6 linked regions of the Mus musculus genome follow. The protein of the gene in region 2 interacts with the protein of the main gene of each other region in a pairwise test. Links are inferred from orthologs where the notes say so. Each region holds a gene or a part of one and is shown on either strand. Other genes may lie near its edges.

Region 1 (5,339 bases), on a different chromosome or scaffold from region 2:
CACATGGTGGCTAACAACTGTGTAACTCCAATTCCAGGGTCAAATGCCCTCCTCTGGCCTCCATTGGCACTAGGCATACTTGGTATACAGGCATACATGCAGGCAAAACACCTATACACAATTTTCTTTTTAATGTAAAAGTTGCTTAATTTAGAGAGCCAATATAAAGAACACAGGATTTCTAGAAATAATTTTGTCAGATACACATACCAGTTAATACCAGTTTATTTTTGTGCATCTGTCTTCTCTAACATATGGCAAATTCTCTAAGTAAAACTCTTCATTCTTCCACATTTTTCTAGTTCCCAAAGAAACTGTTTTAAGTTCAAAGCTCAGATCGTCACACTCATGGCCCAGAAAGATCTCTTATAATACTGGAAATGAATCTACTGTCTATAATAATCTTTTAGAATATATTCAAGGCTGGCTCAAAAGAGGTTGGAAAACACCTACAGCAGAATATCTGGTTTGACAAGAATTTGGCTTTAACTCATAGTAATCCAAGTTTGTTTTTTGCAAAGTTGTTAGGTGTGGGTGACAGCTTCTAAAGATGACACATACCTATGACCTAGGCAAGAGGGAAAAATCCTAAGCAAATCTATGTTAAATGCGAAGTTAACTGCCTCTAAACTTTAACATCCTTATTTTTTCTTTGAAAAAGCCACTCATAAAACTACTTTATAAGTACTTTTAATTACAAAACAAAGCACATGCCAATTATCCAATAATCTTTGTAACCTCTCATTTTCTCTGATTGACCAATTATGTATAGAACCTCTTCACTTTCTTTTTCATGTATCCTTCAAACCAGAGTTTAACAAGCCAGCACCCAGGTGTCTTTAGTCATCTGTTGCACACACTGCCTTATGAGCTTAGAATATAAACACTACAAAAATTTATATCCTTTCACTGCTGTACATCTATTAAAGAATTTTTGTGATTGTTGACTGTGTAAATAGGCACTTTACAAACAAAGCATTACTGGAAAAGACACAAGCCAAACATTACCAAGTTATCAGTACTTCTCAGCGTTTTGTAGAAAAAAAAAAGCCACACCCAGTTTTCAGGCTACCACGAATGAGTATCACTTTCGTTTTTCCTTAAGTTTTGTTTTCTAAAAAAGTGCTACCAAGTGTGGTGGCCCACACCCTTAATCCTAGCGTTTGGGGAGCAGCGGCAGGTTGATCTCTGTGAGGCTGAGGCCAGTCTAGTCTACAGTTCCAGGACAGGCAGAGATCACCCTCCCTCCCTCCTTTCACTCACTTACACACACACACACACACACACACACATCTTTAAAAAAAGGGCAGCTGTCTCCTTATGGCTCCCCTTCTTTGTAGTTAATAAACAATGCTAAATGAAGCTCCAAACATGACTCTTGAGTCATCTGTGTTGCTGACCAAATTTATAGACTATTTGTGAAAATTCTAGTAACTGGGAATTTGTCTAAGTTTGAGTAACAACTTAAGGTCATTATTTAAAATACTGGAAAAAGGCAAATACTTTTAAGTTTTTTTTCAAAATCACTGTTATGTGGCTTCCAAATAAAAACTCAAAATCGATTTTTTTTTTTTTTAGGGCTAGGGTATAGCTTATTGGTATACCATTCACGTGAAAATTCAAGAATATGGTTGATATGGCTACGACTCAAAAATGGAAACACACCCCAAGAGTGTAACTAAACACAATTTTAAAGGGTCAACAGGTGAATAAAAATTTTAAACTGGGTAAAAGCAATTTCATAAAGGTCCATGAAACTATAATTTTCGCCATAAGATGACATGCAGAATTGCCTTTCTGATCATTTCTCCTCCCAGGGACATTTGAAAAGGAGTGGCCAAAGTAGCAGGGGAACTGCGCAACAGCTTGGGATCAAGGACTGAAACTTGCCCTTTCCCAAAGCCTCTGGGAGCCAGGACCAGCGCCCCCGGTGGTGGGCAACTGGCCATCAGCAGCTTGGCACAGGCCACTTGTCCTACCACCTCCTGGTCGCCCCCACCTTTCCCTCCAAGGCCAAGGACAGAGACGTCCTCCTCCCCCTTCTCCTCCTCTTTGGTGCCTTCAGCCAGGAGGCGGGAGTGACCCGCAGCAGCTGACCCAGCTCGGGCACTGCCTCTCCGACAGCCCTCAGGACACACCATGGGCCTGGAGGCTGGTTGGTGGCACACGAGCGAGGACGCAGGCGGCGGCCCCGGCGACTCTCAACTGCCTCCCTGACCACTGCGACAACCTCCCCGAAGCCATCGCCACTACCCGCAGCGGAATCTATCTGCGGCCAATCTATCGCCACGAACCGACTACCAGCTACGTAAACAACTATGGCGGGAGAAAGGTGGCAGGCCGAGGGGCCCGGAGAAGGTTGGGCCATCTACGTCACACCCAGAGCCCCCATCCGGGAGGGAAGGCGGAGGCTCGACCCGCGAAATGGCGACAGCAGTGACGCGCCTGCGTACGGAGCTCACCCGTCGCGCCGCGGACGACGGGAAGTGAGGTTTTCAGAGGAGCCGGCAGAAGTGTACGGCGACTTCGAGCCCCGGGCGGCCAAAGAAAGGTCTCCGGGGGGGAGACGAACCCCGCCAGAAAAGTTCCGGCCGGCTTCTGCGGGAGAGGAAGTGAGAGAAAGCGCTTACAACCTTCGCTCTCGACCACGGAGGCAGCGGCGAGCCCAGGAAGCCGAGGAGATGAAGACGCGGAGGTCTGCTCGCCTTGAGCAGCACTCACAGCAGCCGCAGCTGTCTCCGGCCACGAGCGGCCGAGGGTTACGGGACTCTCCGTCCTCCAGTGAGGACCGCGAAGGTAACAGTCTCGGCTGCGGGCTCGGGAGCGCGCGCGGCGGCGGGCACGCGGCGGCAGGCGCGCCCCCGTGGAGGCCGGCCCCGCTCCGGCCCCGCCTGGGTCCTGGTGATTTCTGCGGCCCTTTGGGCGCGCACTCCCGGATTGAGTCCACCCGGACCCTCAAGAGGGAAGGACGCAGTGGGCCGCGCGGGAAGGTGGTGGTGCGAAGTGACCCGAGCGGAGGCGGGCAGCTCTGCCTAGTCCTGGAGCTTCAGTTTGGGGGGTCTAGGTCTCCTCTTTCTGTAGGCTTTTGCTAGAGGTCGGCGGCTAAGCCATTGTCGGAGCCCCAAACTACTCTGCGCTCGGTTTCATTTCCGTCCTCTGAAGTTTCTACTGAAGCCACTTCCATTTCCTTTTTTTTTTTTTTTTTTTTTTTTTTAAATCTCGGGGGCCCCAAGTCCCCAGCTGAAAATCCTGTTTTTAAGTTAACTTTCCAGTCGGTTTCTTTCGTTTTTTTTTTTTTTCACCAAGATTGGGAAAACGAGATCATTTCTAGGCGGATGCTACGAGGAGTAGCTGACTTTAATGAATGGGTTGGTGACATTACTCCAAATACAGAGTCTGGTCTCTGCCAGACTTTCCCCCCAGATTGGAGGCCATCACGGTAATCTTAAGTAGCTAAACAAGTCAAGACTGACAAACTACTGAAACAAAACAAGGTTCTATTTATTAGTAAAGCTTATATATGAAGCCCCAGATGCCAACAGGGTGTGTACTATAGTTTTAGTTAAGTCACACAGATGAACCAAATTCTTCAAGCCATCCTCTTATTCCCTGCACTCGGATATAACTGAGTCACAGGTGGTTCCAGTAAGCCCCATGTCAGTCACCTAATTATGAGGTAAAATTCTGAGGGTTAGAGTCACAGTGGGATGGCCTCCCTAATACATTTGATGCATCTGAACAGGAGTGGATTTAAAGCTTAGAGCACAGTAAACTGGCTTGCAGATTTACCTACTTGCCCTTAAAGTCCTGACACACTTGAAGATCTGTTCATTTGGGAAACTTTATGCTAGAGATGTGCATGCTCTTTTGGATGTAAGGAGACAGTTTATTTGCTTATACATGTCAGCATTTCTTTTAAGATGGCAAAGTTGGGAGAAAAAAAAAGGAACCTGTCACGCATGTATGCCTGGTCGAAATTTAGGTACTTGTGTTAATTCTGTCTCAGAAACTGAGACAGTGTTTGCACATGGGAGGCAATGTAACTGTTACTTTTTATTGACTTTCCCACAGAGCCTCCTGCACCTAAATTCAGTTTACCTTTTATACATTTTTAGAGGATTTAAACATTTCTTTTACCTGACTCTTGAACCTACCTTTTAATTTTTTATATTTTCTTTATTTACATTTCAAATGTTATCCCCTTTCCTCATTTCCCCTCCGAAAACTCCCCTATATCCCCCCCCCCCCCCAACCAATCCAATCCCTCTCCCTGGCCCTGGCATTCCCCTACACTGGGGCATAGAGCCTTCACAGGACCAAGGGCCTAACCTTTTAACTTGCTAAAGTAGCATTTTTGTCGTAAAGCAACAAGTAGTGGTTTGTATGTTGTTTCACTTCCATGGTTTGCAGCTGCACGTACCTGTGTGAGTATGTGCACGTGAGTACAGGTAGCCTTGGAAGCCAGAAGATGGTGTTGGGTCCCTTGGAGCTGAAGCTACAGAATATCGTAAGCCTTTTGGACTTCGGAAGTCCTCGGAAAGAGCAGCAAATGCCCGTAAACACTGAACTCTCCCCAGCCCTCATCATACTCTGTCTTAATAGGATTTCTAACTGGTTTAATTCCCAAGTTTTGAACCTAGAGAAGTTGAATACTTGCATCTCTCTGTATAGATTACTGGTAAATATGCATACTGTGTGCCATGGTCTCTCCCAGGTCATCTAACTTGAATTTTACCTCTTGTTGGTGCTGTAGAGGATGAACCTTCTTCCCGACCTGTTACAAGCCAAACAGCCTCAAAGAAAACTCTTAGAACACCAGAGGCTTCAGGTAAGAAGAGTTTGGTCTTTTGGTTTTCTCTTTTCCTGCCAAAGACTCATGAAGAATCACAGCTCAAGCTGGGCGTGGTGGCATATGACTGTAATCCCAGCACATGGGAGGCAGAGGCAGGCGGAACTCTAGGAGTTCAAGGCCAGCCTGGTCTACAAAGAGAGTTCCAGGATAGCTAGGGCTGTTACACAGAGAAACCCTGCCTGGAAAAAACGTACATCAATCAATCAGTCGGTCAATCACAAGAGGTTTGTGAGTCTTATCAGTTCACTAAATTCAGCCCTATGGGTACTTGCTAAACTAAACAAGGGCGAAAACAAAATGTAAGTTCAACTGTCTACCACTCTGTTAATCTTCAGAACCCCGCAGAGAGAGACGGGAAACTGAAGCTCTGAGTATCTAAGACTCTTCTCTAAGATCACCTGATACATGAGTAAATTAAAATTCAGGCTCAGGTTTGTCTTTGTTTGTTTGTTTTGTTTTGTTTTTCGAGACAGGGTTTCTCTGTATA
Region 2 (5,451 bases):
TGTGCTTTCACAGAGGAAGGCAGACACTGGTCTTTGGGACACAGAATTAGGGATTAGGGTGGAAGGACTCCCTCTGAAGATCAGATTTAGGACTAAAGCCATCTTGATTGTAGTGGTGACACAGATACTTTGCTAAGAGCTCAGTACAGTTTGGGATGAAAGCCCTCCTTCGTACCTTTTCCACAAAATGGGGGCGGGTAGGATAAGAAGGGTTAAATGTGGTTTTGCTACTGAAGCCAGGAAGAGAAGCCAGGCCAGGGAGGGATTGGGGGGTGGGTAGGAAGGGCTGAGACAGCGGGAACAGGGAACAGCATGAGCCCCACTGCTCACGTTCCACCACTGGCTCACCCACCCGCCTCTGCTTCTTGGTTAGGAAGTAGGGGAGGGAGAAGCAGAAGAAATGGTTTTTGCTGTTGTTTTGTCTGGGAAGTTGAATGGCAACCACACAGCCCGAGGGACTACAGGGAAAGGAAGCCATGTCCTAGGTTCCCTCCCCTAGATGCATCCTGGGTCCTCACCACACTGGAGTCACCCTCACAGAAATAAGAACTCTCCCAGAACCCAGCGCAGTGGCAGTGGCACGTGCCTTTGATTCCAGCACTCTGGGGGCAGAGGCAGGCAGATCTTTGAGTTCGAGGCTGGCCTGGTGTACAAAATGAGTTCTAGGACAGCCAGAAGTTCATAGAGAAACTCTGTCTTGAAAAAACAAAGCGCCAGGCGCACGCCTTTAATCCCAGCACTCGGGAGGCAGAGGCAGGTGGATTTCTGAGTTCAAGGCCAGCCTGGTCTACAATGTGAGTTCCAGGACAGCCAGAGCTATACAGAGAAACCCTGCCTCGAAAAACCAAAAAAAGAAAAAAACAAAAAAACAAAAAAACAAACCCCCCCCCCACCACCAACAACAACAACAAAAAAAAAAACAAAAAAAAACAAAAAAAGCAGCAGCAACAACAAAATCTCTTAAGAGTCCCAACTCAAGCCCACTGCCTGGACCTGCAGGAACTGCAAGCTAATCAGCAATGGACAGGGGAAAGCACATGGCAAAAGGGGAAGGAACATGGCAGAAGGGGATGCCAGGGCCAGTAAGGCTTAGGCTAGGGTTACAGGAGAGGATTAGACAGCTGATCGGGAGTCTTTGATGGAGGCTGGAGACCCCGGGACATGGAACCAGGGGACCAGGTTACTGTATTGGGAGATCATCTAGTCAGGGCCCACCCAGAACTGGCTAGACAGGCATGCAGTGGCTGAGGAGGGGGTAGCTTTGCTGTTCTTGCTCACACCGTTTAAGATGGAACCAGGATGGAGACCCTGCATTAACAACCCTCTGACCCCGTTCCTCTTTTCAGGCCCTTCTCGAAGCCACAAAAATCTGGAACCTGGTGTCCTGGCCATGTGCTGAATGCACGCACAGCACAGCTCTGGTATCTGTTTTAAATTATCCATTAAAATAAGTACAGTCCTGGAAAAAAATAAGTACAGTCTTGGATTTGGTTGGGTGGAGTGAGCTGAAGAAAGGGGCTGAAACGAGGGATTTCAGCAGCCCCTTTTTCCAGCTGTCTAGGTCCAAATGAAAGGGGAGGGGGGAGTGGGCGGGGCCAACTTCTGGCTTCTATTCTTGGCCTTCTCTTGGGGACTGAGGCTTATTTCTTAGATCTAAAACCCAATGTTTGGTTTTAAAGCCAAAAATATAAGGGAAGTGCATAGGTTTGGGTTTTGTTTTTTGTTTTTTCCCGAGGTCCTTGATCTTTGCCCCCAAATTTGAGGGCATAAAGTAATCCCTCAGTTACCTAAAAACACAGCCATTCCTTTGCCATTCCACTCTCCTGGATTGGCCGCTTCTGTGCGCGGGGGAGAGGTGACTCACTATTACTACTGAGGAAAGGGGAGCCAGTGGTGGAAGTGGGGTGAGTCACTGATGGGCAGCAGCTTCAGCCCTCCCCCCAACTTCCTTGGCTCTCTGGGGATGCCTGATCCTCTCCCTCACTTTGCACCTACTTCCCCTGGTCCCTCACCACTACCCTTTGCCCACCCACTCAAATTCTTTGGCTCTGCTCTTTACTCCAGAAGGCCAAAGGCAAGCTTAGAGTTGAGTAGGCAGGAACCAACATTGTGAAGCCCCAGGCCAGAAAGGGGTGTTCTGCAGAGTGAGGGTTGGCATGCTGGCTCCTCCTCACCATACCTGCCCCCGCCCCTTTGGGTACAGGATGGCTCCTTTAAGAGCAGTGGATCCACCCCCTGTAGAGGAGGGCCTATTAGAGCCTCTGCCTGGCTGTCAGTGACTCAGTGTTCGCGGGAACGCTGCCTCAGCCTCAACACCAGCCAACCCAGATCCCGAGGTGCGCCAGCGCCCAGCCCAGATCTCCACGCCTGCCAGGAGCGAGCTTCGCCGGCTCGCTGTCCCCCTGAGCAGCCTCTGTCCTTCTGTCCAAGTCCCGCGCCCTTCTCGGGACCCCTGCCCAGCGGGCAGCACTGTCACCCTGCCGGCCATGGAGACCCCGTCACAGCGGCGCGCCACCCGCAGTGGGGCGCAGGCCAGCTCTACCCCACTGTCGCCCACTCGGATCACCCGGCTGCAGGAGAAGGAGGACCTGCAGGAGCTCAATGACCGCCTGGCCGTGTACATCGATCGCGTGCGTTCCCTGGAGACCGAGAACGCGGGGCTGCGCCTTCGCATCACTGAGTCTGAAGAGGTGGTCAGCCGAGAGGTGTCCGGCATCAAGGCGGCCTACGAGGCCGAGCTGGGGGATGCCCGCAAGACCCTTGATTCTGTGGCCAAGGAGCGCGCCCGCCTCCAGCTAGAGCTGAGCAAAGTGCGTGAGGAGTTCAAGGAGCTGAAGGCTCGGTGAGTGAGGCCCGGCCGGCCGGCACCAGGGAGGCAGCAGTCGCCTGTAACTGGCCATCTAGTCCCCTCCCTCCCCGGAACTGCCTCCCGCGGGTGACTGGCAGTGCCAAGGGTAATAGACATGATAGGACATAGAAGGGAGGGGGTCTCTGTGAGAGGGTGGGGGATATAAAGAGTGGTGGGGGCATTGAGACCAAGTAGCGTTGGTGACAGGGCCTATGCTGTCAAGGTGGGATTTTTCAGTCATTTGGAGCTTGGGGGATGGGCTTGAGGAAGGTAGAACAGGCTCTACCAGGTCTTGGAACTCCCGAACGCCGCCCGGGACACATCAGAATGGGTGAAAGGGTTTTATTAGAACTTTCTTGGTAGGTTTGGCACTTTGCCAATCTTGCCCAACGTGGCTCTGAACACATGATGTCCACTAAGACATAGCGCCCACACTGACATTTGTCCAGTGGTACTGTAATGGAGTTACCAAGGCTGCATAGCCCCTTTCTCCCATGGCTGTGTAAGCACGGCCTTCTCCTGGTTCTTTCTAGGAGCTGAGAATGTCTGGAGCTTTTCCTAGACTCTCAGGCCCACCAGAAGCACACCAGGAGATCTGCTCCCCCGCAGCTCCCACAGCCCTTGGCCTCCCTGGTCGAGGAATGCAAGGGAGGGTGGGGAGGGAGACCGGGCACAGAAGCTAATGGCTCTGGAAATTCTGTTATGCCTGAGTCGGGGACACCCCAGTCTGGGCCCTCTCTGTTTGGTGACTTAAGGGTTTTGGAAGCTCTGTCCTTTCCTTGCTCAGCCAGCGAGCCACTTTCATTTTTCTAGTCAAGCCAGACTTTACTCTGGCCCATCCTCTGAACTGTTGATGTCTTGATCTTACTAAACCTCTGGAATACAATGACATTTTTGAAATCCAGCCGTTAGGGAGCCTCAGGCCACTCCCATTGCACCCATCCCTACCCCACCCTACCCCACCCTACTTGGCTCCACCTACTTTCTAAAAAGGCTTTCCAAAGCCTGGAAGTTTGGGCTCTTGCTCCCTGTACTTCCATTTCGCTCTGTGTCTGTGGTCTTTTCTTCTATGTTGTAGACCCAAGACAAAGAGCTTTGGACATTGGACGTGCGCACTGATACCTAAGGGGCTGGTAGCTTTGACTTCTCTTCCTCTTTTTCCTTTTTGCATTATCTTCTGACAAAACCCACTGTGTATCTGTGGTTGGTCATTCTATTCCTTACCAGATTCCAGCCCTAGGTGGTGAGTATGGCAAGCCCATTGCCTCAAGTGTGAGCAGAGGTCATGTGCACAGATGGGTCCAGCTTTTCTTTCTGCTAACAGGAATTAGCTGCCTTTTCATCCATCCACTAGGGATATGAACACCTTATCAAGAAATACATGAGGCAAGTTAGAGGAGTCCCAGTGAGTTAACTAGTTAGTGATCTAAACTAGTTAAGTCAGCCACCAAAGCTCTTGCAGATCCTGGTGTAGAACTTGTATAGTAGATGTGGGGACAGGGACAGTGGAATCTATAGCTTCTTGTTCATCTAGCCATGCCAGTCTCCTGCCCCCAGTGCAGCTGTCCAGCCTGGGACACCAGGTGGTGTGTACACACGTTGGGTAGGGGCTGGGTGATGTGTGGACTTTTTAAATTTAGCCACCTGCCTCTATTCTCCACTGATGGTAACTGAGGAGGCTGGGCTTCCGGGAAGGGGGTGGGTATACACACCTAGGTCCCTGCTGGTGGGGTGGAGCAGAGGCTAAGTGCCTGACCTTCTGTGTCCATCATAGAAGACCACGGCTGCTACCCCTTTCTATAGCTGTTGAGCTCAGACTGAGGTGGAGAAATGCCCTGGAAGTCTGGGGAGGATGAAAGGCATTGTCCAGTAGCCCCTCCCACCAGGGGCCGGGTAGGGAAAAGTGACCAGTTTAATGTTTAATTGGAGCTCAGAGTTCAGGGTCAGGCTTGGAGTTAGACAGAACTGTGAGACCCTGTGACAATCTGTGGCATAGCTCAAGTTGGGTCTCTCAACTGCACCCACAGGCCTCTGCTTTTCAAGGTGGATTGTAAGTTACAAGGAGGAGGTGGAGAAGAGGGGGGACAAAGCCAGGCAGTGGTGGTGCATGCCTTTAATCCCAGCACTTGGGAGGCAGAGGCAGGTGAATTTCTGAGTTCGAGGCCAGCCTGGTCTACAGAGTGAGTTCCAGGGTACACAGAGAAACCCTGTCTGGGGGGGGGGGAAGAGGGGGGAGGAGACAAAACAACTCTCTCCTTCCCTCTTTCCTCCTCTTCTCAGGAGGTTTAGACATCTAAGCTGGGAGAAGGGGACAGTTGGAAGCGAGGGAAGGCTCACCGCAGGCTTAGGGCTGGGCAAGCCTTCCTCCAGCTAGACAGCTGCATGAATGACTCAGACGCCACCCCTCCTACCCTAGTGGCTTTATAAGAGACAACAGGAGACAGGGAGTATAGACTGTCTGCATATCTGCATCGGCTATCCTCTCTCCACAGCATCCTGGGGTCCCTTTATCGTCTCCCCTATCTTGAGGTTTATTTAAGTGTGTGTGAGAGTACACACACATGGGCCACGGTGTGCACGGTAGGACACAACTTGGGGAATTT
Region 3 (4,074 bases), on a different chromosome or scaffold from region 2:
TGCAAATTTAGAATACTGTCAGCCGAAACTTTCCTATTCTATGTACACACTGATGTCCTTCATATCCATTATTTACTATTTCATGTTCCTAAAACCATCCCACTTACAGGGCTTCAGTCTGTCAATAGGTCTTGTTTACACCAAGTCCCATCACAGAACTAGTTGCATGTGGCTGGCAGAAAGTCACTATTCTCTCATTCAGATGGCTATGGATCCCTCCCCACATCTAGCTTTTCAGAACCAACCAGTATCCATCATCAGTTCCGTTGGAAAAGGCAAGCTCAACCGTTTTGAAACAGGAGGCAGGGAAGGTAAGGTGATAGGTGCTTCGCAGAGGGGAACAAGGAAGGGGTGGTAACAACTGCGTCAGAAACAGGTTCTGTGGAAGGTGTGCCGCATAACGTGGAAAGTACTGGAACCTTAGGGTGGGGACAGGGGCGCTAGCTGGGGTTCTAAGTAAAGTGTTATGCTGCAGGTGGCTGAGAGTTCACTGAAAAAGCATCCAAAGTGGCCAAAAACCTGAGGCCGATCAGGAGGTTGGCAGGGCTGAGCTGGGAGGGTGTGGTCCTTGTAGGCTCTCGCCCCCTCTAATCTGCCGCTAAGCTAGCTGCAGAACCGCTAGACAAGCTACCACATCTCACTCACTGGTCTGAGTGACAGACACTTCCTATGTCTAGTGTCTTACTGGTCAGTCGAGAAAAAAGAGGGTGGGACAAATAAGTATTCTCCTTCTGATTGGTCAACCCGCTGGTTCTTGTCAATTAGAGATGAACTGGGTTCTCCGCCATGTTGAATAGCGCGCTGCAAAGCCTGTTCTTTTCTTGGGATGGTCACCCAACACCCGGTCCTTCCTGTCCCTCTGTGCCCTAATATGTTGATCCAGCTAGTTAAAACGCGCTTTCTGCTTTAAGTCCGTATACCGCGAGAAGTTCTCGTTTAGGTAGTTAGACAGAAATAAAGCTAGAAACCAGAGAAAAGCTCAGTCCCTTGCCGGAGACCTGGGTGTCATTCAAGTGAATCAGTAATTGTTCCGGCGCTGGTGAGACTCCCATTGAGCAATTAGCTTGAAGATTGCGTTTTACTTTAGCTTGCTGTGGTAGTCGTTTGTGTAGCTTCAGACAGTTATGCTTCTAGAAACCGCAGGCTTGTATCAGAAACCATCATTAGACACTAGCTGGACTCGGGGTTCGCATTTGTGACAGTGAAAAAGGACGTTGCGTGCGTTATGGTCCGTCGCCACCTCCTGTAGCGTCCCTAGTAACCGAGCCCCTAGTAACCGCTCGCCCCAAGCCAGGATCTGTGAGCTAGGTGGCAGCGCCTGCACGCCGCCCTGGGCGGGCGCGGGCGCTTGGGCTTGGAGGCGGGGCGATGGCTTCGCCGCACCAGGAGGCCAGACTGGCGGCAGCCAGCCTTCTCCTGTCTGCAAATCCCATCACCGGAGCAAGGGTCGCCCAGTACGAAAGCGAAGACTCCTTAGAGTCCTTGGTAGCAGCGGGGTTGGCGGCGGCCATGGAGGAGGAGGAACAGAAGAAAGTGTGGCAGATGCGGGCGTCGGTAATGTGAGAGCCCGGAGGGGTCTGAGGGCTGTCCGATCGTCTCGGGCAGGACGGGTGGAAATGCGGTGTCCTCTGTAGACCCTCCCTGCTCTCTGCCCCAACTAAAGGTTGCTGCAAAACTTTATTGGAGAGTGGTTTTTTTATAGCTATTTCTAGAGTATGCAAAGAACAGAACTCTACTTCCTATTTATTCTCCAGTATATCTTGGGAATAAATAATTTTTTAGTTCTGATTTTTACATTTATTTTTGCCCCCCCCCCCCCCGAAGACAACTGATGTGCCCATAGTTTTCATAAAAGATCAACTTTCAGATGATAAGTTGTACTGACAAGTGTGTTTTATCAGTTTTTGTTAGGAGTGGATTTTAGCAGTCCATTAGCAAACCGTGTTTGAAGTTCAGTGGACAGATGCTCCAGATGTAGAGAAGCATCCAGATAAACAAACCGCCGAAATCCCAGTTCCCTAAAGGGATGATATGGGTGCAGTGAGATCTTTTCACAAAACATTTTCAGTATTATGTCCTGGATGTGTTATATGTTTCTAGCAGAAGGATATATATGGAGGAGGAGATTATACACACACACACATAATCTCTACCTCTGGAAAAGCAACCAGTACTTATAACCACTAAGCCATCTCTCCAGCAATGCTTTTATTCTTTAAAAATTTCATACAGTATATTTTGAATGTAACCACCCCCTCTCCTTCATCTGTTCTATTCATTTTGTGTGTTTGTTTTTAGATTTATGTGTATGAATGTGTGCCTTGGGAGTTACTGAGAGTTGTGAGCTACCATATGGATGCTGGGAATCAAGCCCAGGTCCCCTGCAAGAGCAGCAAGTGCTCTTAACAGTTAAAACATCTTAGCATCCTTTTAAATTTTTGTTTGTTTTCTGAGACATAGCCTGGCTGTTCTGGAACTCACTCTGTGTAGTCCAGGCTGGCCTCAAACACACAGAGCTCTGCCTACCTCTGCTTCCTGAGTTTAAAGGTGTGTAATAAAAACGCCCAGCTTTTATTCACTTTAAAAGCCGGGAACCTTGGACTTAAACCAGCACTCTGCTGGGATAAAGCACCAGGACGGGCACTCGCTCCCTCGACACCCTGTTCCTTAGCAGTGCTGGGGTGGGCCGAAGGGTTTGTGCTTGCTAGGCAAGTGGTGTACCAACAGCTACATCCTCGGCTTTTTTGTTTTATTTTAGACAGTGACTCCTTTGGTCCAGGATTGCCTCAAATTTGCTATTTGTGGCTAAGGATGACCTTAAACTCCTGATCCTCCTGCCTCCACCTTCCAAGTAATGGGATTAAGCGTATGGGGCCCCAGGCCTGGCCTGTAGCAAATGTTTCAAGGTTATGTAGAGTGAAGCAGAGCCTAACCAGCTATGAGGTTCAGAACCCTAGGACTGGTTTATACCTGATAATCATTCAACACAGCCTGTCATAGGTTACAGAAGGTGAAATGCCAGGGAAGGCAAGAGCTTGGACCCGGGTCAGAAGCCGTTTTCTTCTATGTGCTGGGTGATCTTAGGCCGTGATTTCTGTTTCTTTGTCTATAAAAGGACTATAATTGTCTCCGTTTTCCACCTTATTCAGTTGTTATTAAGAACCAAAGGAGAGAATGGGTGTCATTTCTAGAGTAATTTACATAAATTAGTAGTAATTGTAACAACTGCCAGCTTGAACAATTCACTTGGAAATTGATTTATACTTTGGCTTACTACGGCAGAAAGGTCTGTCCTTTGTATAGTTGTACTTATGTTCCAGAGTGCCCTGCTAACTGAAGATTTTTGTTATAAACTGAGTTTGGGTTTCCAACACCCAAATACAAACCCAGTGTGTTGGCTTTTGTCTATAATCCCAGTGCTGGAGAGAGAAGAAACAGGCAGATTCCTGGAATTTGCTGAAAGCCCTACCTCAAAAAATAAAGTGGACAGTGGCTAGGGAATTCAGCTAAGATTGGATGTTAGCCTGGAACCCCTGCTTATCCCCTGCACAAGCTGGGGAACTACATCTGCCCTCCTGCCAACCCCACCCACCTAAAGAAATCTCCACTGTCTGCTTGGAGAATACTCAAGCTAACATGTCAGCGCTCCTTGTCTCTGAGTTTCAGACAGCCTGCCCAAGAGTGCCCATTTGGGGGCTCAGTTTTTGACCATGCATGGACACAATCCCAGCTCCTAGCTAGCATGGCAGCACTCCCAACCTAAACTCTACAAGATCCCCTTGCTTTGGCCTGGATCTCTCACACCTGTGAGATCAGTGAGCCCACCTGAGAGCAGCCTCCTAATAAACCTGCCTTTATCTACTTCTAATCTGGTCTAATCTGGTCTGTATCTGTGTCACTGAGGGGACAAAAAGCCTGTCACTGACCTCTGGTGTACACACACACACACACATTCTCTCTCTCTCTCTCTCTCTCTCTCTCTCTCGCACACACACACACACACACATACACATTCTCTCTCTCACACACACATTCTCTCTCTCTCACACACACACACATTCTCTCTCTCACACA
Region 4 (5,231 bases), on a different chromosome or scaffold from region 2:
AAACCATGAACTAGTGTGAGTAGTCAGTTTTTGGGCACTATCCTAAGGTGTGGGCCTTCGTTATTGTTTCTTTGGATTTTGGTGGGTTTTTTTTTGTTTTTTTGCCAGGTTTTTTATTATTATTATTATTATTATATGTAAATACACTGTAGCTGTCTTCAGACACTCCAGAAGAGGGAGTCAAATCTCATTACAGATGGTTGTGAGCCACCATGTGGTTGCTGGGATTTGAACTTCGGACCTTCAGAAGAGCAGTCAGGTACTCTTACCCACTGAGCCATCTCACCAGCCTGGATTTTGGTGTTTGAAGACCGGGTTTTTCTATGTAGTCCTGGCTCTCCTGGGACTGGCTCTGTTGACAAGGCTGGCCTGGAACTCGGATCCATCTGGCCCTACCTCCTAATTGCTGGGATTAAAGGCTGTGCCACCACCACTGCCTGGCAACTGCCTTGGTTTTTGTTTGTTTGTTTTTTGAGACAGGGTTTCTCTGTATAGCCCTGGCTGTCCCGGACCTCACTTTGTAGACCAGGCTGGCCTCACTCAGAAATCTGCCTGCCTTGTTTCTTAATGATCAAGCCATCTGTTTAATTTTTACCTCAGGAAACTCGGCAGCAGCTACCCCTACAGAGCCTGACCTGAAGGATCAGGTCACCCCAAAGTCTGAGAACGGTAGTCAGCCCACCAAGAAAGCCCGTGGGGCTGTGAAGGCAAAGCAGCAGTTGCTGAGACAGCCACATTCCAAGAAGCCCTTCCAGAAGTTGAACGGCATCGCCAAAGGGCCAGGCTTGTCCACTGAACCTTCTGTCCCAGATGCCCAAGTGTCTACCAGGCCCAGTCAGTCTGCTGGGAATGCTGACGTGAACAGCAAACGAAAGAGGTCTGAGAAGCTGAAGCAGCGGGGACCTAAGTGGAAGCCCTCTAAGGAGGCTGCTGTCCCAAAGCCGAGCGCCCCTTCCAGGGTTGAGGACTCGAGAACACCTCCTGTGCCGACTCCCTCTGAAATCCGTGCTGCCCCAAGGCCTAAGGACTGTGCTCCATCCCTTGGGGAAGCCAAAAAGAAACAGAAAGGAAAGCAGCAGTTAGCACAGCAGCCTGCTAATGGAGCTGCTCCCCTGAAAGAAGATGCTGTTTCCAAGGGACCCTCAGCCCCCTTTGTGTCTCCCCACAGTTCCACCAGGCCCCCACCAGCAAAAAGGAGGAAATCAATGACAAAGGGCAACAGCCAGCCTCTGTTGTCTTAAATGGACTTGGAAACTTGACATTGTCTCTGGGTTGGAACTTTTAGATCCTGATGCAAGGCTGGCCTCCCCCTGTGCATACATATGAAATTTAATATACATATTACCACTCCTAGTTGCTGTTGTGTTTTTTGAGGGGACTGGGTACTGGCGGTTTGTAGGAAAGTGGGCCTGGGTTTCTCTGGGGAGAGACAGTTGTGCACTATTCAAATGACTATTCAAATGGTAAATTTCTCCCTCCATTTCTTAGTCTTCATGGGAAAAAGTAAAGGAGTCCGACCCAGGGTACCAGGTAGAAGAGAGGGCAGTAGGGAAGACTGTCTCTAAAGAGCCAGAGGTCCTGTGCCTACAGTCAGAATCTTAGGCTGTGGCTCCCCGGGAAGGGCTAGTCTGGCTCCTGCCGGGGTTGACCCCACTCATGGGGCCTCAGACCCGGGAAAGGTTCAGCGCTGATGCCCTAATGAGGGCCTTTCATTGGCCCCCTCTGCTCCCTCCCTTATGACCTTTGCCCTCCTGCCGGGCTATCTGATTGGTCACTCGTATCCCACAAGCATCTCATTGGCTCTTCTCCTCACCCTCTGCTGCACTGGTCTCCTTCTCCCGGCAGAAGGCGCAGCCATGAATCCGTTATTTGGTCCCAACCTCTTCCTCCTACAGCAGGAGCAGCAAGGCTTGGCCGGGCCGCTGGGGGACCCTCTGGGAGGTGACCACTTTGCCGGGGGAGGGGACTTAGCCTCGGCTCCGCTTGCCTCGGCCGGCCCCTCTGCCTATTCGCCTCCGGGGCCTGGTCCGGCGCCCCCCGCAGCCATGGCTCTCCGCAACGACCTAGGCTCCAACATCAACGTACTGAAGACCCTGAACCTCCGGTTTCGCTGCTTCCTAGCCAAGGTGCACGAGCTAGAGCGCCGAAATCGGCTGCTGGAGAAACAGCTGCAGCAGGCTCTAGAGGAGGGTAAGCAGGGCAGGCGGGGCCTGGCCCGCCGTGACCAGGCGGTACAGACCGGCTTCATCAGCCCGATCCGGCCCCTGGGGCTGCCCCTGAGCTCCCGGCCGGCCGCCGTGTGCCCCCCATCAGCGCGGGTGCTGGGCTCGCCCTCCCGCTCGCCAGCTGGACCCTTAGCATCCTCTGCCGCCTGCCACACATCATCCTCCACTTCCACATCCACTGCCTTCTCCTCGTCGACCCGCTTCATGCCTGGCACCATCTGGTCCTTCTCTCACGCCCGCCGGCTTGGACCAGGACTGGAACCCACGCTGGTGCAAGGGCCTGGCCTGTCGTGGGTACACCCTGACGGGGTGGGCGTCCAGATCGACACCATCACCCCTGAGATCCGTGCCCTGTACAACGTGCTGGCCAAAGTGAAGCGGGAGCGGGACGAGTACAAGCGAAGGTAGGGACAGGGTTCAAGACATGCCCCACACAGACACGACAGGGGCAGGGAGTTAGTTAGTGAGGGTTCCTAGAACGGAGAAGTGGGGGGCGGGGGGTGGGGGGCGGAGGGCAAGAATCGTGTTAACAAGAGTTGAACTTCCTGTGATGATGAAAAGTGAGGAGCAGGGAAAGATTTGGTTGCAGGGACCCCAGAATCCACAGACAGTTCTCAAGTCAGACTGGTGGCTCGAAGCCTTCTAGAACACTGGGAACTGATGCTTTCTTCTGGCATGTCTCCCTGTCTTATGCAGGCTGCAGTGTCTGCGTGACTCTGCTAACTGTGGGGTGTTGTGTGGTATGAAAGGGAGACATCCGAGAGAGCTCTGCATCTGTGGGTCTTGGTTGTCGGGCCAGCTTCAGACCTTGGGGGCAATTTCAGGACATAAACTCCACATATGGGGTGAAGGATGCGGCTTTAATTCTGGAGGCAAATTAAGTGAAGTTGGAAGGAGGTAGTGAAGGGCGACTGTGCCTGCCCAGGGCCTCCTCTAAGGCATGTCCCCAGAAGCCAGGTCTCACCCTGGTTCCATACAAGAGGCTCAAGGACTCCGGAAGCTAAAGATATTGCTTGGAACAGTCAAAACACACAGGAAAAGAGAGAAAGGGTATGGGGTCTCCTAGGACAAGGAGAAGGGATGGCTGTCATAAAGCTGGTGGGGGCGCTCTATCAGAAGAATCTCCAACCAGAACCAAGTAAAAAAAAAAAGTTGGGACATGGGCACGCCCTACAGAGATACAGATCGGCTATCTCAGGACCAGCACTGTGTGTTCTGAGGGTGAAGGTTTGGCTTTCTGAGAGGAACCCTGTCCCCAGCAGGTTAACATAAGAGTTAAGAGGAAGGGATGTCACATTGGAGTGCTGGCTGTTTACCAGGAGGACTCCCTGGATGGCTGGTAACCAGGCAACAGGACAGGGCCACAGGCAGAGAGAGTTTTCTCAAGGCTGACCAGGCCCTGGTTGAGGAGGAAGTTGGTGGCGGTCAGAGGGGAAGCCCAGATTTGGAGGCTCCAGTGTCTTACCTAATGTGACCCTTTGGGGGATAGCCTGGTCTGTGTGTGCAGGCCAAGGTGGCAGGGATCGCTATCTGGTTATAGCCGTGTGTGAGGACTATTTGGAGGCCCTGGAAACACTTTGTAGGCTCTGGGTGACCTTCAAGGGTTGGTGATCTCTTAGCATCCCCCAGATCGCATGCATCAGCAGGCTTCCTGAAGTTCAATCCTCACCCTGGCTTCCATGACTGTGGCCCATGTCTTTGGGTTTTTAGTTATCCCAGCCTCTAGGCACCGCCCAGGGCCTGCCCGCACCTGCCTTCTCCCCTGAAGGGCTTAACAGCCAGTGGAGCATGGACAGTTCTGGAGTTCTGCTCTAGTCCTAGGAACAGCTGCTCCTCTCCAAGCCATCTTTTAAAACAGAGACTGTTTGTCCTTGGTGCAGCTGTCTTGGGCAGCAAAGAGTTATCCTTGGGGACTGGTTAGCTCATCACTGCAGCACAGGGTCGTGCAGAGGGCCCGCGGCTAGGATTGCATGGTACACGACACTCGCCCTTCCACCCCAGTGCCCCCTCCCTCCTTCTGAGCTCCTCACACCGTGCCCCCACACCCCACTCCGTTAGCCTGGATGGCATGCAGAGCTTGATTATTAAACTGGGCGGGATGGAGGCCCCGCCACCCCCTAGCTCCTGTCTTTAGCTCCTTTGCCTGGGTGATATTTTTCTTGGGGCTCAGTTTTTCCAGTAATAAGGATGCTCCTTGCTCTTTCCCTTCAACTCAAATATAGGATTTATTTGCAGGCGAAGCCTTTGGTAAATGTAGTAATTATGAAATTTGCCCAGATTCTACCCAAGTTATGGGAACCTTGCAAAAAAAACAAACAAACTGAGATTTGAATGCAGGCCACACTGCACCCATCGGTACCTGGCTGGAGACCACTGCGGGCATCTAGATAATTCAGATTTCTTTCCCTGTATGAGCCATCTCATTAAGCATCATCTTGCCTTAAACTTGCTCGTGTTTCACTGGGATTTATCAAGTTCATCCCTGACGCGTCTTGGCCAGGGTCGTAACCTCTTGTCTATCCTATGGGCTTTTCCTCTAGAGACTCACAGACTCTAGGCACACAGGATGCCACATCCCATACTTGTAGAGGAAGAAACCAGAGCCTAGCAAAGACAAAGGTCTCATGTAAGAAAACGTGTAACGTGAGGTTATCAGACTCTGTCACTGCTGGAACAGAGGGAGAAGCAGGCGAGGGGGAGTGCAGGGCTGGCAGGAAACAGGATAAGAGGGTGTGAGGGAGGGCCACAGCTGAGCTGCATGGTCAGCTGCAGGGTGGTGGCTAGGCTGGCTGCCTCTTCCCCTGGCTGCCTGGAGTTATTATTAGGAACACTGCAGTGCGGCTGTAGGTGCTGGACATGGGAGAGTCATAGAACCCGAGAGGGCGAGGGAGGGGCAGGAGCAAGGAGAGAAGGGGCCCGAGAGCTTAGTCCTCCTGACTGCAGAGGCTGTCCTCGGCTGCCTCCTCTCCATGGGTCTCATTTCGAGTCTTCTTCTTCAGCTCCGTT
Region 5 (4,664 bases), on a different chromosome or scaffold from region 2:
TTGGTTGAGCTAGCTAGCCTTACAGCCTTCAGTAGAATAATGTGTGGATGGAGAACTCTGGGAAGCTGTGATGAATCCTGAAGACTGTAGATAATTCATGGGTATATGTAATGTTTCTAACGTAGGTGAGAGATGAGCTGATCAGTCATAGTAATTGCTCCTAAAATGTGATGGCACTGCCTCTACATCACCTATGTCTGAGTGGGCCCTCACCTTGTTTTTAAAGCACCGACCTTGACTAGCTCAAATAAAGGATAGTGCACTTTTTTCATAATTGTGTATGACTGGGCTAATTTGCGGGGAATAGTGTAGGACAGGACGGATGATCTCTCTCTCTCTCTCTCTCTCTCTCACACACACACACACACACACACACACACACACACACACACATACACATACCCACAATGACAAATACATATTCTTATTTGCTTAAATATATGTGGGTTTCTATGTGTATATAGTTGCTAATAGTTATTATGCTTTACACATTTTTTGAGTTATAAGGACCAGAGATTCACTTTATTTATCTTTTTATATATTTCTTATTTAATGTTTCTTATTTAAATATTATTATATAAAGTAATTTAAGATAGATATTTGTCTATGGATAGAACATCAGAGGAATACTAGACATGCAAGTATGTCTGTGTTTTTGTAGGAGGTAACTCCTAAATGACAGATAGCTGAGAACATCTGACTAATTCTTCAGCTTGTTTCAGTTTTCATTAACCACTCTGAGTGTGATTAGAAGAGGCTCCCATCACATAAGGAGGAGAACATCTTCATTTATACACTGAATTGTTTTGTTTTGTTTTTGCCTATTAGTGAGCATTTCCCAATATTCTTTGGTGCTCCAAGTTGTCTTGAATCTTGCCTAGGCTGAAGAGAAAACTAATGAGCACTGAAGAGTTACATCCATTGGGTATCCTGTGGCTCAGAGGGGTGCTGTACGTTTCCATTTTGGGAACTAGCTATTTCTCATTAGCCTTCAGTAAACCCGGTGAAGCACGTGGTAAGTCTTGTGGCTGGAGTGCGTTGCAGAGGAAGGTGGACTCTGATTACTAGTTTTAACTAGTCTTTCACTACTTTACTGACAAGAAGATGAAACATTTAGAGTCACACTGAGCATTCTGTCAGTGTCTGGTTTGCTTGTGAGCTACATTGAAGATAGAATCAAGACTAAAAATAAGCTGTCAGTTAAGTATTACTTTAAAGTGTATCTTTTGTCCTTAATTACTTGGCTATTCAGACCCAGAAATGGAAGAACGCTGCTTACTTTTATAGTTTAATGACAACTCTCAGTTCTCTGAGAATTTGCCACATCTAGTAAAAGTTCTAAAAGTGTGGGGTTTTCTAAAAGAAGAATAAATGTTACCTTTTTTTTCAAACTAGTGTTCAGAATCAGGTGGATGAAGTTATTGATGTAATGCAAGAGAATATTACAAAGGTAATTGAAAGAGGAGAGAGGCTGGATGAACTACAGGACAAATCAGGTACAGCCACTCGCTGCCCTTCTTGATGTTGTGACTGTGTGTAGCTAATGCTTACTTTCCGTTTGTCTGATCGCCCACCCGCCCGTGTTCAGGAATCGTGGCTTCCGAGATCAACATTCAGTTCTTAAGCTGGATTTCCATGGCTTAGTTTCTGCCCATTAATGTAAATTATTGTACTGTTTACTTCTTACTGAGACAAGAATGGAGAGTTTAAAACTTCGTTGCCAAAAAGTTAAATCCTCTTTTCTCTTGCCCTGTCATATTGATGCACTTTGTGTTTCTTCGGATGTCAAGATGTTAAAATCTAATCCATTTTTTTTAGTACTCCTTTTAAACTTGCCTGCTATTTCTATTTAGTCTTCCCTGGTACTCAGGTAGTCTGTATTTTCCCACAGATGTTAGTCTCTGTGCCCATGATTCCTAGCACACTTGGACCTCGCGTATTGTTTGGATGATGACTTACGCTTCCCTGGAAACTTAGCAACTGTTGTTTACAGGCAGATGTTAGTCTGAGCCTGTAATGGCTCTTGGCACATGTTAGCCCTTCTTGCTGTGTTAATGGTGAATAGCTGTATGCCAGATTCATTCTTGATAGATTTGCTTGATTTTTTTTTTTCACTCAAAATCAGTTATCTTTGTTTTCTAAAAATTAAAATTTTTTTTTGTGTGCAAATTTTTTCTAGAGATGTGCCAAAGTATTTATTTTGTTTCTGGTGTGGGATCTAGTGTGTACATCAGGGATCTGCCCATGGGCAGCATCCCCAGCCCCTAATTTAAAAACTTTTATTACATTAATTGTGTGCATGTGGAAGCTAGGGACTTGACTCTGTCCTTCCATCACGTGGGGCTCTTTGTGTCAAACTTAGGTCGTCAGGCTCTGTGTCCAGCTTATTTTTAAACTCTTATTTTCTTACCAGAACTAAGTTCGTGGATAAGAAGAGTTCTGGAAATCATGAGTGGGTGTCAGGGTGAGGGTGGGAGAGTTGACAAACTGACCTTCCACTGTGTTTTCCTTTGTTTTGTTTGTTTGTTTGTTTGTTTTAATGGAGACTGACAGACTCTGTGGGAACCAAATTTTAAGAAGTAGTATTACTGTTTATCTTTGTATGACTATATAAAAGAATGCTGTTATGTCATTTAATCCTTCTCTCTACCCTGTGTGATATAGAAAGCTTATCGGATAATGCCACCGCTTTCAGCAACAGATCCAAACAGCTTCGAAGGCAAATGTGGTGGCGTGGATGCAAAGTAAGTGAGGGGTGGGGGAGGGGCAGCGAGGCAGCAGCGAGTCTCTGAGCTTGTGAGGACAAACACTGGAAGGGCCTTGCCCAAAGCTTCCTCCCCTAGGAAACAGGAGCAGGGCAGTGCCTGAAAGGCTGCACTCAGCTCTCACCATCAAAGGGCCCTGCGTTGGTAGGGATTCAGCATCTGGACACGTGGTGACAAACACGTGCCCTTCTTAGACCCACTTCCACTTCTTCCTAGCTCTTGGAGAACAGTTCACTGTGTACAGAGTGGGTTTGAATTTGGTGTTTTGTTTTTTGTTTTCTGATGAGAATGAAAATTTGAGGAAAGTGTGATTTTGTTTTATTTTCATAGTGGGAAAAACAGTAGCAGTTTGTATGCCAGAGACTCTCCTAACAAAAGATTAAGGAAAAAGACTCATTTTATTCCTTCATAATTAAATTTTAATAAGGACAAATGGAATCACTGCATACTAATATTTCTGCAGAAATGAATTTCTCTCTTAAATATGAACAATCATGAAAAATATCTTGATTTTTCAAAAACAATTATGTCATGAGAACAAGTGTTTCCTTTTTCATCTTGAATCTAGGTATGTGTTTTTATTTTGCCAAAATCCTTAAACATGGATTTATTGTTTTTAACCCCTCATTTTAGGGTTCAGCAATAATTTTCTAAACCCAACTTTGCTATATGGTAAGGATCTCTTCGAAAACATGTCTTCGAAGAGAAAACATGAAACATGATTTACCTGTGAAATATTCTGTTCCCAGAAATAGAAGTGAAGGAGGACAAGTTTCATTGTTCTCTTCACAATGAATTTTTTTCCCATTTATTTTTGTTTGCTTCAGAGAATAAATTTTGTATTTTCTTTCATTTCTTCTTCTTTGCCTCCTCCTCTAATGTTTTAAAGAGATTTAAATATATATAGGATGGTTTTTTAAACAGGCAAGGCCTTAGTTTAACTTTGTGGACCACGGATAGCATCCAGCATCTAATAAACAGCATTATATCAGTAGCAAGTGCCTCCTCCCTAAGGGTTCTGTTTCTTCAGTCTCCTCCTACACTATCAGTCACGGTGTTCCTGCTCATCTGGGGAGGTGCCCCAGGCCTCCTATTTTTTGGATTGACTTTCATCGTAGTGATTTAGGAAGGCTATTATAAAAAAGGAGATTGGAAAAAAAGATATCAGAGGCTGCCACTGGGGGAAGGGTGTGGGGTGGTAATGGGCTGCCGCTGATAATGAAAGAGCTTTGAGCAGTGGTAGGACTGTGTCTGTCTATGACAGTGTTAGATAGATGGGCGCTGCCCCAAGTTAGAAACCCGAGGACGAGCAGACGTTTCAGTACAGGCTCTTTACACTTTTCTTGATATTTCCATTTCCATTTTGTAAAGTTCAGCCTAGTAATTTTATATTAATAGGACACATTAATATATGTTTTAGGAAAGCTACTCTTAAATTCCATGTTATTTAGAAAATATTTTTAGGTTAAATAAAGAATTGAAGTATATTTTAGTGTAAGCTCAGGTTCAAGACTTTTTATATTTTTAAGTTATAATTAAAAACCTGGGCTTTTATATCTAAATTCCAAAGCTTTTTGTATATTCCTTGCGTGACTTTGTTGGTGTCACGGCTACAATGTCACGAAGTGTTAGCAGTCAGTCTATGTTTAAAACATTTAATTCCTAGAATTTAACATTTAATTCACTAGAATGAATCAGCCTTTTATGATATTGAATATACTGATTTTTTAAAATTTTTCAAATGAACCTTATAAAATCTTGGAAATAAAAATAAATCACACACAAAATTAGGCAATATATCTTGATGGCCTTGTGTGTAGTTAGAACAGCCACTCTGAAGCTGTGGAGGCTCACACACTGGACTTCACTCTTTCATGGTCTAGTACATTCTTATGCACT
Region 6 (4,664 bases), on a different chromosome or scaffold from region 2:
GGGTGCTGAGTTATGTAAACAAAACAAACTCAAAAACTTCACACTTTAACAGTGTGGTGTTTTTAGTCCAGTTAAGGGAAATGGGGAGAGAGACACTTTGTCCTCATGGTTATCACTTAAGATGACAATGCAAGTCAGTGTTGGAGTCAGGACTGAAAGCAAATCCAAGCCCATGATCTATCTATCTAGTCCTTCCACTGAACTAACCTCTGAAGGGAGTTAGTCCCAGGAGAGCTTGCTGGGCACACAGAGAAACTTGACAGGACCGCAGAGCCGTGGGGTGGGGATTCCTAAGCTGGCACAGAGCGTTGTTCTTACTGATAGGACGATGGTACTCATGAGGCCCCATTGTGTAGCAAGAAACATTTACACTCTCATGCCGACACTGTTGTTGTTGAGAATGGGTCCAGTGCAGAACTGAGATCTTTGGAAGTAGCTTCTTTCTTATCTTGTGAGACTCTGGTTTATTTGTATGTGGATACAGGCGTGCAGCTTACTATCCCGGTTTAGAGACTTTGAAAGGAAGATTAACTGAGTGTAAGATAAGGACTGTGAGGTGGTGAAGACAGTTGACTGGAAGCATGTGTCCAGGGAAGAGCAAAGCATGAGTCCTGTGTGGTTAGATGAGGGGCCCTTTTGTCATATTCTTTAGTCACAGGAAGATGGCTTAAAATCTCAAAATGAACCAAGCATAGTGTTAAGGTTTATTGCAGTTTCTGGACTCAGGAGGCTGAGAATCATGAGATCTATAGGGCAGCCTAGGCTCTAAAGAATGTTTGAGGCTGTCTCACCATCCCCTCTCCAAAACTCTGGGATTGACAAATTTCAGACAATAAAAGAATGTAGAATCATGTTAATATTAGAGTTTAAGGTTAGAAATGTGTTTGTAGACTAAAATAACTATATGACTCCAATGGTAACTTTGCTTTATTCCCGTGGAGGAAATCTCATCGTATTCGAAAATTCAGAGCACAAATCTCTCTGTTTGTACTCTGAAAAGAATAAAATATTAACTGGTTAAAAAATACCTAAGCTAAACCAGAAAGCAGGCATTCTGGGAGGCCAAAGGAGGAACTAAGAACAAACTACCATCTGGCTAGAGTGCAGTTACTGAGGCAAAACTCTTGCCTAACATGTGGGAGGCCATGGGTTTAAGTCTCCAGCATTGCTGAAACCAAACCAAAAGAACAGGGAACCAGCAAGACAGCCTGAGTTCCACCCCACATTGAAGCCCCAGCACCCACATGGTGGAAGGAGTAAGTCAGCTTTTACCTGTTGACCTGTGGCTTCTACATGTCATAAATAAACAAACAAAAAATGAAAACAAAAGAATCTCCTATAGGGGCTGGTGAGGTGGCTCAGCGGTTAAGAACACTGGCTGCTCTTCCAGAGGTCTTGAGTTCAATTCCCAGAAACTACATGGTGGCTCACAACCATCCGTAATGAGATCCAATGCCCTCTTCTGGTGTGACTGAAGACAGTGACAGTGTACTCACATAAAATAAATAAATCTTAAAAAAAAAAAAAAAGAAGAACCTATAGTAGTCTGAAAACTCACAAATGTTGTGCACACATGCTGCTCAGTGCTTGCAGCATGACTGCTGATTGGCTTCTGCCTGAGGATGATCTCAGGGTTGCTCCACAGAGCCAGCTCATGATTCTGAGTAAGCTCAGTGCCTGCTGGGAAAAGCTCTGTCTTAAATGCTGCATTGTGTTAGTTGGTGGAATTTGCCAACTTCAGCAGAACTAGATAAGGACCGTGCTGACAAAGGGACGCAAACATCCCCTGAGCTTTTGGCTTGGATTTGGTAGTAAAGGGGTGATGTGTAGAGCCAGGCTCACACTCCCAGACAGCTGAGTCCCGAGGAACTGGGGCTATGGGGAAAGCGTCCTGTGAAGAGGCCAGGTGGCTTCAGCTGTCAGTCAGAATCAGAGTTTTGGGGCTCTGGTTTGGAGTCACAGCCTCACATTCCTTTGAAACTAAATAAATACAACTAATGTGTCATTTTTAGGAATTTTTCATCTCTCCCTTTCTGTTAAAAGAGTTTTCCAGACATGATAGCCCAAGTCTATTATCCCAGCAGTTGAGATCAAAGGCCAGCCTGGCCCCATATTGAATTCCAGGTCAGCCTAGGCTACAGAATGAGGTACTGTCTCAGAGAAACAAAAACAAGAAAAGGCATGTGGAAATGTAATGGTTTTTTGTTTGTTTATTTGTTTGTTTGTTTTTTTCTGGCCTGAAAGCTTAGGTTATCATTAGCAATAAAAAGAATATTTTTCATTTATTGCAATAGATGTTAACTTCTGGCTCACTTCAAAATAGCTTATTCCAGAAAAACTTGACTAATATGTTTTCAAAATCTTGAGAAATATTCATCTTTAAAAAAAAATCTTTCAGAGAGTAAGAAACCTGGGCCTTTGGAGCAATTTGCCTGGGTTAGAAAACAGTAGTCTTCCCCTTTAGTTACGAGGCCCTCAGCAAGGCACACACGCCCTGTCCTCATTTGTAGAGTGGAATGCAGCAGTTTCTGTTTGGAATTGACCATGGTAAAGTTTAATGAGTGACATTGGCTTTAGTAGATGCTGGTCTCAGGTGGTTGGCAGCCTCATGATTTACCACATCCCTTTGCTAACTTCCTCACAGATTTAATTTGTTCCCATCTCCTTTTTGGTATGTTTATTTTAAATGCAGTTGGGAATATGTACAGCATAGGAAGTTTAATGTTGAGAAGGACACAGTGAAACACTACGTGTGCATCCTCGGGTTCAACAGCACCAAGGCCACAGCATTGCCACCCCTGCAGAGGACTTTTCCAGGGTTACAGTCTACTTCAGTTTTAGAAAACAGCTTGTTTCCTCCATTAAAATCACCAATACACAACTTTGTATTTAGTTTGTTTTTTTATTAAAAAGAATTGTTCTTTTCTGTGTTTCTTTTGTTCCTTTCTTCTCACTGTTTAATTCTTTTTAGTCAGAAGAAGAAGTTGTAGAAGGAGAAAAGGAAGTTGAGGCTTTGAAGAAAAGTGCAGACTGGGTATCAGACTGGTCCAGTAGACCCGAAAACATCCCACCCAAGTAAGTTACTGCATGTGTCTGGGCGGGCGGTGTGATTTCTGTGCTCATGTGGAGGGGCTTGCTCAGGCCCGGCATCTGCAGCACTTGTGGTCTGATTCCAGCCTCTGAACTTCTTCCCCAGAGAGTTCCATTTCAGACACCCTAAACGTGCTGCGTCTCTAAGCATGAGGAAGAGTGGAGCCATGAAGAAAGGGGGCATTTTCTCTGCAGAGTTCCTAAAAGTTTTCATCCCATCTCTCTTCCTTTCTCATGTGCTGGCCTTGGGGCTCGGGTAAGTACCCTGATAGAGTCATCATGTGACTTAATGGGACTTAATGGGACTAGGCAACAAGGCAGTCAAAAGAAAGGAGCCATCATTATTTATCTTTTATGAGTTATTTAAAATTTGGCTAATTGTGAGTAATGTATAAATTATTAAATATAAATGTAGGAGTAAATGAAAAATGCTACCCTCCCTCCCCCAGATGGTAAAACACCATTGTGGAGCATGATTCTGGAATACACTGGTAGGCTGCTATGGGTACCGTCTTTGTCTTTTAAACTTTGTGGCATTTATTCAAAAGTCAGCCAGTATTTCCCTTAATTCATTAACTTGTGGCATGTCTTTTCAATTAATAGCTTCCCCCCCCCCCCGATTTTAATATTTTAAGAAAACATACTTCTGAAATATTTTAGTTTATAAACATTAGCTTAATTAATATTAGTTTCAAGTCCTACCTACTATGCTCTGAGCATGCCCAGTGAGTCTTTTTCTGTGTCTGATGCATGGAAAGTGGATCATTGCTGATCTTGCTATGAGTGGCTCAGCATAGCAGAGGGAAGTGCCTGCTCTGGAGCATGGGCAGGTGTGCATCTTCCACTGTCTCTCCTGTAGAGGATCTGTTCCTCCAGACAGGGCCAGTATTCACAGACAGCTGAGTGAGAGGCGCTTGTGGAGGAAACAGGATAGGAGAGTGTGGAGCTTGGGAGGACTCGTAATACCTGCCAACTATTCAGTTCATTTACCACAAAAGCTTGGCTTGGGGGCCTTGCAGTATTTCTTGCTTTCATGAATCTTCAAGCTTTGTTGTTGCTTTAATTAAATTTAACTCTTACCACAGAAAATGTTTTAAAGGGGCCTTAAAAATTGCTGCGATATTGTTGAGGAGTTTGCTGCCTGTTTTTCTTGGCCGTTTTTTGCTTTTGCTGTTGAAAGGGTCATGTTCTTGCCTGGTATTGGAAAGCCATGTTAGGTTCCCATCTTAAAAACACTGGCTCTGTGACCACCATCTCTCTAGATTTGAAATAGCAAGAGAACATTTTATCTAAAAGGACTCAGTTGGAGGCTGGGGAGTGCTCTGCTTTGGGCTTTGAAGGGTTCTAATTTCCTTAGCCTGACCTGGCTTAGCATCCCTGCCCTTGAGCTTTCCAGTCCTGACTTAGAGGAAACAGAATCCATACAGCCATTTGCTCTGAGCTCATCAGGGGCCTGTAGCTCAGTTGGCACATGCTGTTTTAAGGTTGGGGAGTCTGGGAAGTGTGCACAGAGTCTTTCAGGGCTGTCCCAGCTTGTCAGCAGAGATCTCCCTATGGGCCAGGCTGCTGTGATT

What was found.
Region 1: the proteins of Lmna (region 2) and Tor1aip1 interact in a two-hybrid assay, tested with the Homo sapiens proteins (2 studies listed by BioGRID). The link is inferred for Mus musculus from reciprocal best matches to the Homo sapiens genes LMNA and TOR1AIP1.
Region 3: the proteins of Lmna (region 2) and Fam161a interact in binary tests that used the Homo sapiens proteins (3 or more experiments, as listed by UniProt). The link is inferred for Mus musculus from reciprocal best matches to the Homo sapiens genes LMNA and FAM161A.
Region 4: the proteins of Lmna (region 2) and Iffo1 interact in binary tests that used the Homo sapiens proteins (3 or more experiments, as listed by UniProt). The link is inferred for Mus musculus from reciprocal best matches to the Homo sapiens genes LMNA and IFFO1.
Region 5: the proteins of Lmna (region 2) and Vamp4 interact in a two-hybrid assay, tested with the Homo sapiens proteins (2 studies listed by BioGRID and IntAct, with this or other methods). The link is inferred for Mus musculus from reciprocal best matches to the Homo sapiens genes LMNA and VAMP4.
Region 6: the proteins of Lmna (region 2) and Bnip3l interact in a two-hybrid assay, tested with the Homo sapiens proteins (2 studies listed by BioGRID and IntAct). The link is inferred for Mus musculus from reciprocal best matches to the Homo sapiens genes LMNA and BNIP3L.

What each region holds. Positions count from the first base shown.
Region 1 is NC_000067.6:156,033,215-156,038,553, reverse strand, and holds the start of Tor1aip1 (torsin-1A-interacting protein 1), read left to right. Parts: upstream 1-2,073; 5' UTR 2,074-2,318; coding exon 2,319-2,796; exon of another isoform or gene 2,797-2,890; intron 2,891-3,346; exon of another isoform or gene 3,347-3,364; coding exon of another isoform or gene 3,365-3,368; intron 3,369-3,736; exon of another isoform or gene 3,737-3,873; intron 3,874-4,753; coding exon 4,754-4,828; intron 4,829-5,339. UniProt on the Homo sapiens protein: Required for nuclear membrane integrity. Induces TOR1A and TOR1B ATPase activity and is required for their location on the nuclear membrane. Binds to A- and B-type lamins. Possible role in membrane attachment and assembly of the nuclear lamina.
Region 2 is NC_000069.6:88,500,139-88,505,589, reverse strand, and holds the start of Lmna (prelamin-A/C isoform A precursor), read left to right. Parts: upstream 1-2,237; 5' UTR 2,238-2,486; coding exon 2,487-2,842; intron 2,843-5,451.
Region 3 is NC_000077.6:23,007,073-23,011,146, forward strand, and holds the start of Fam161a (protein FAM161A), read left to right. Parts: upstream 1-1,274; 5' UTR 1,275-1,368; coding exon of another isoform or gene 1,369-1,554; exon of another isoform or gene 1,555-1,559; intron 1,560-4,074. UniProt on the Homo sapiens protein: Involved in ciliogenesis.
Region 4 is NC_000072.6:125,143,401-125,148,631, forward strand, and holds the start of Iffo1 (intermediate filament family orphan 1), read left to right. Parts: upstream 1-1,823; 5' UTR 1,824-1,856; coding exon 1,857-2,629; intron 2,630-5,224; coding exon of another isoform or gene 5,225-5,231. Other genes in the region: Nop2 (probable 28S rRNA (cytosine-C(5))-methyltransferase), read left to right, coding at 601-1,241. UniProt on the Homo sapiens protein: Nuclear matrix protein involved in the immobilization of broken DNA ends and the suppression of chromosome translocation during DNA double-strand breaks (DSBs).
Region 5 is NC_000067.6:162,586,801-162,591,464, forward strand, and holds part of Vamp4 (vesicle-associated membrane protein 4), read left to right. Parts: intron 1-1,395; coding exon 1,396-1,496; intron 1,497-2,664; coding exon 2,665-2,744; intron 2,745-4,664. UniProt on the Homo sapiens protein: Involved in the pathway that functions to remove an inhibitor (probably synaptotagmin-4) of calcium-triggered exocytosis during the maturation of secretory granules.
Region 6 is NC_000080.6:66,987,817-66,992,480, reverse strand, and holds part of Bnip3l (BCL2/adenovirus E1B 19 kDa protein-interacting protein 3-like), read left to right. Parts: intron 1-2,971; coding exon 2,972-3,075; intron 3,076-3,196; coding exon 3,197-3,346; intron 3,347-4,664.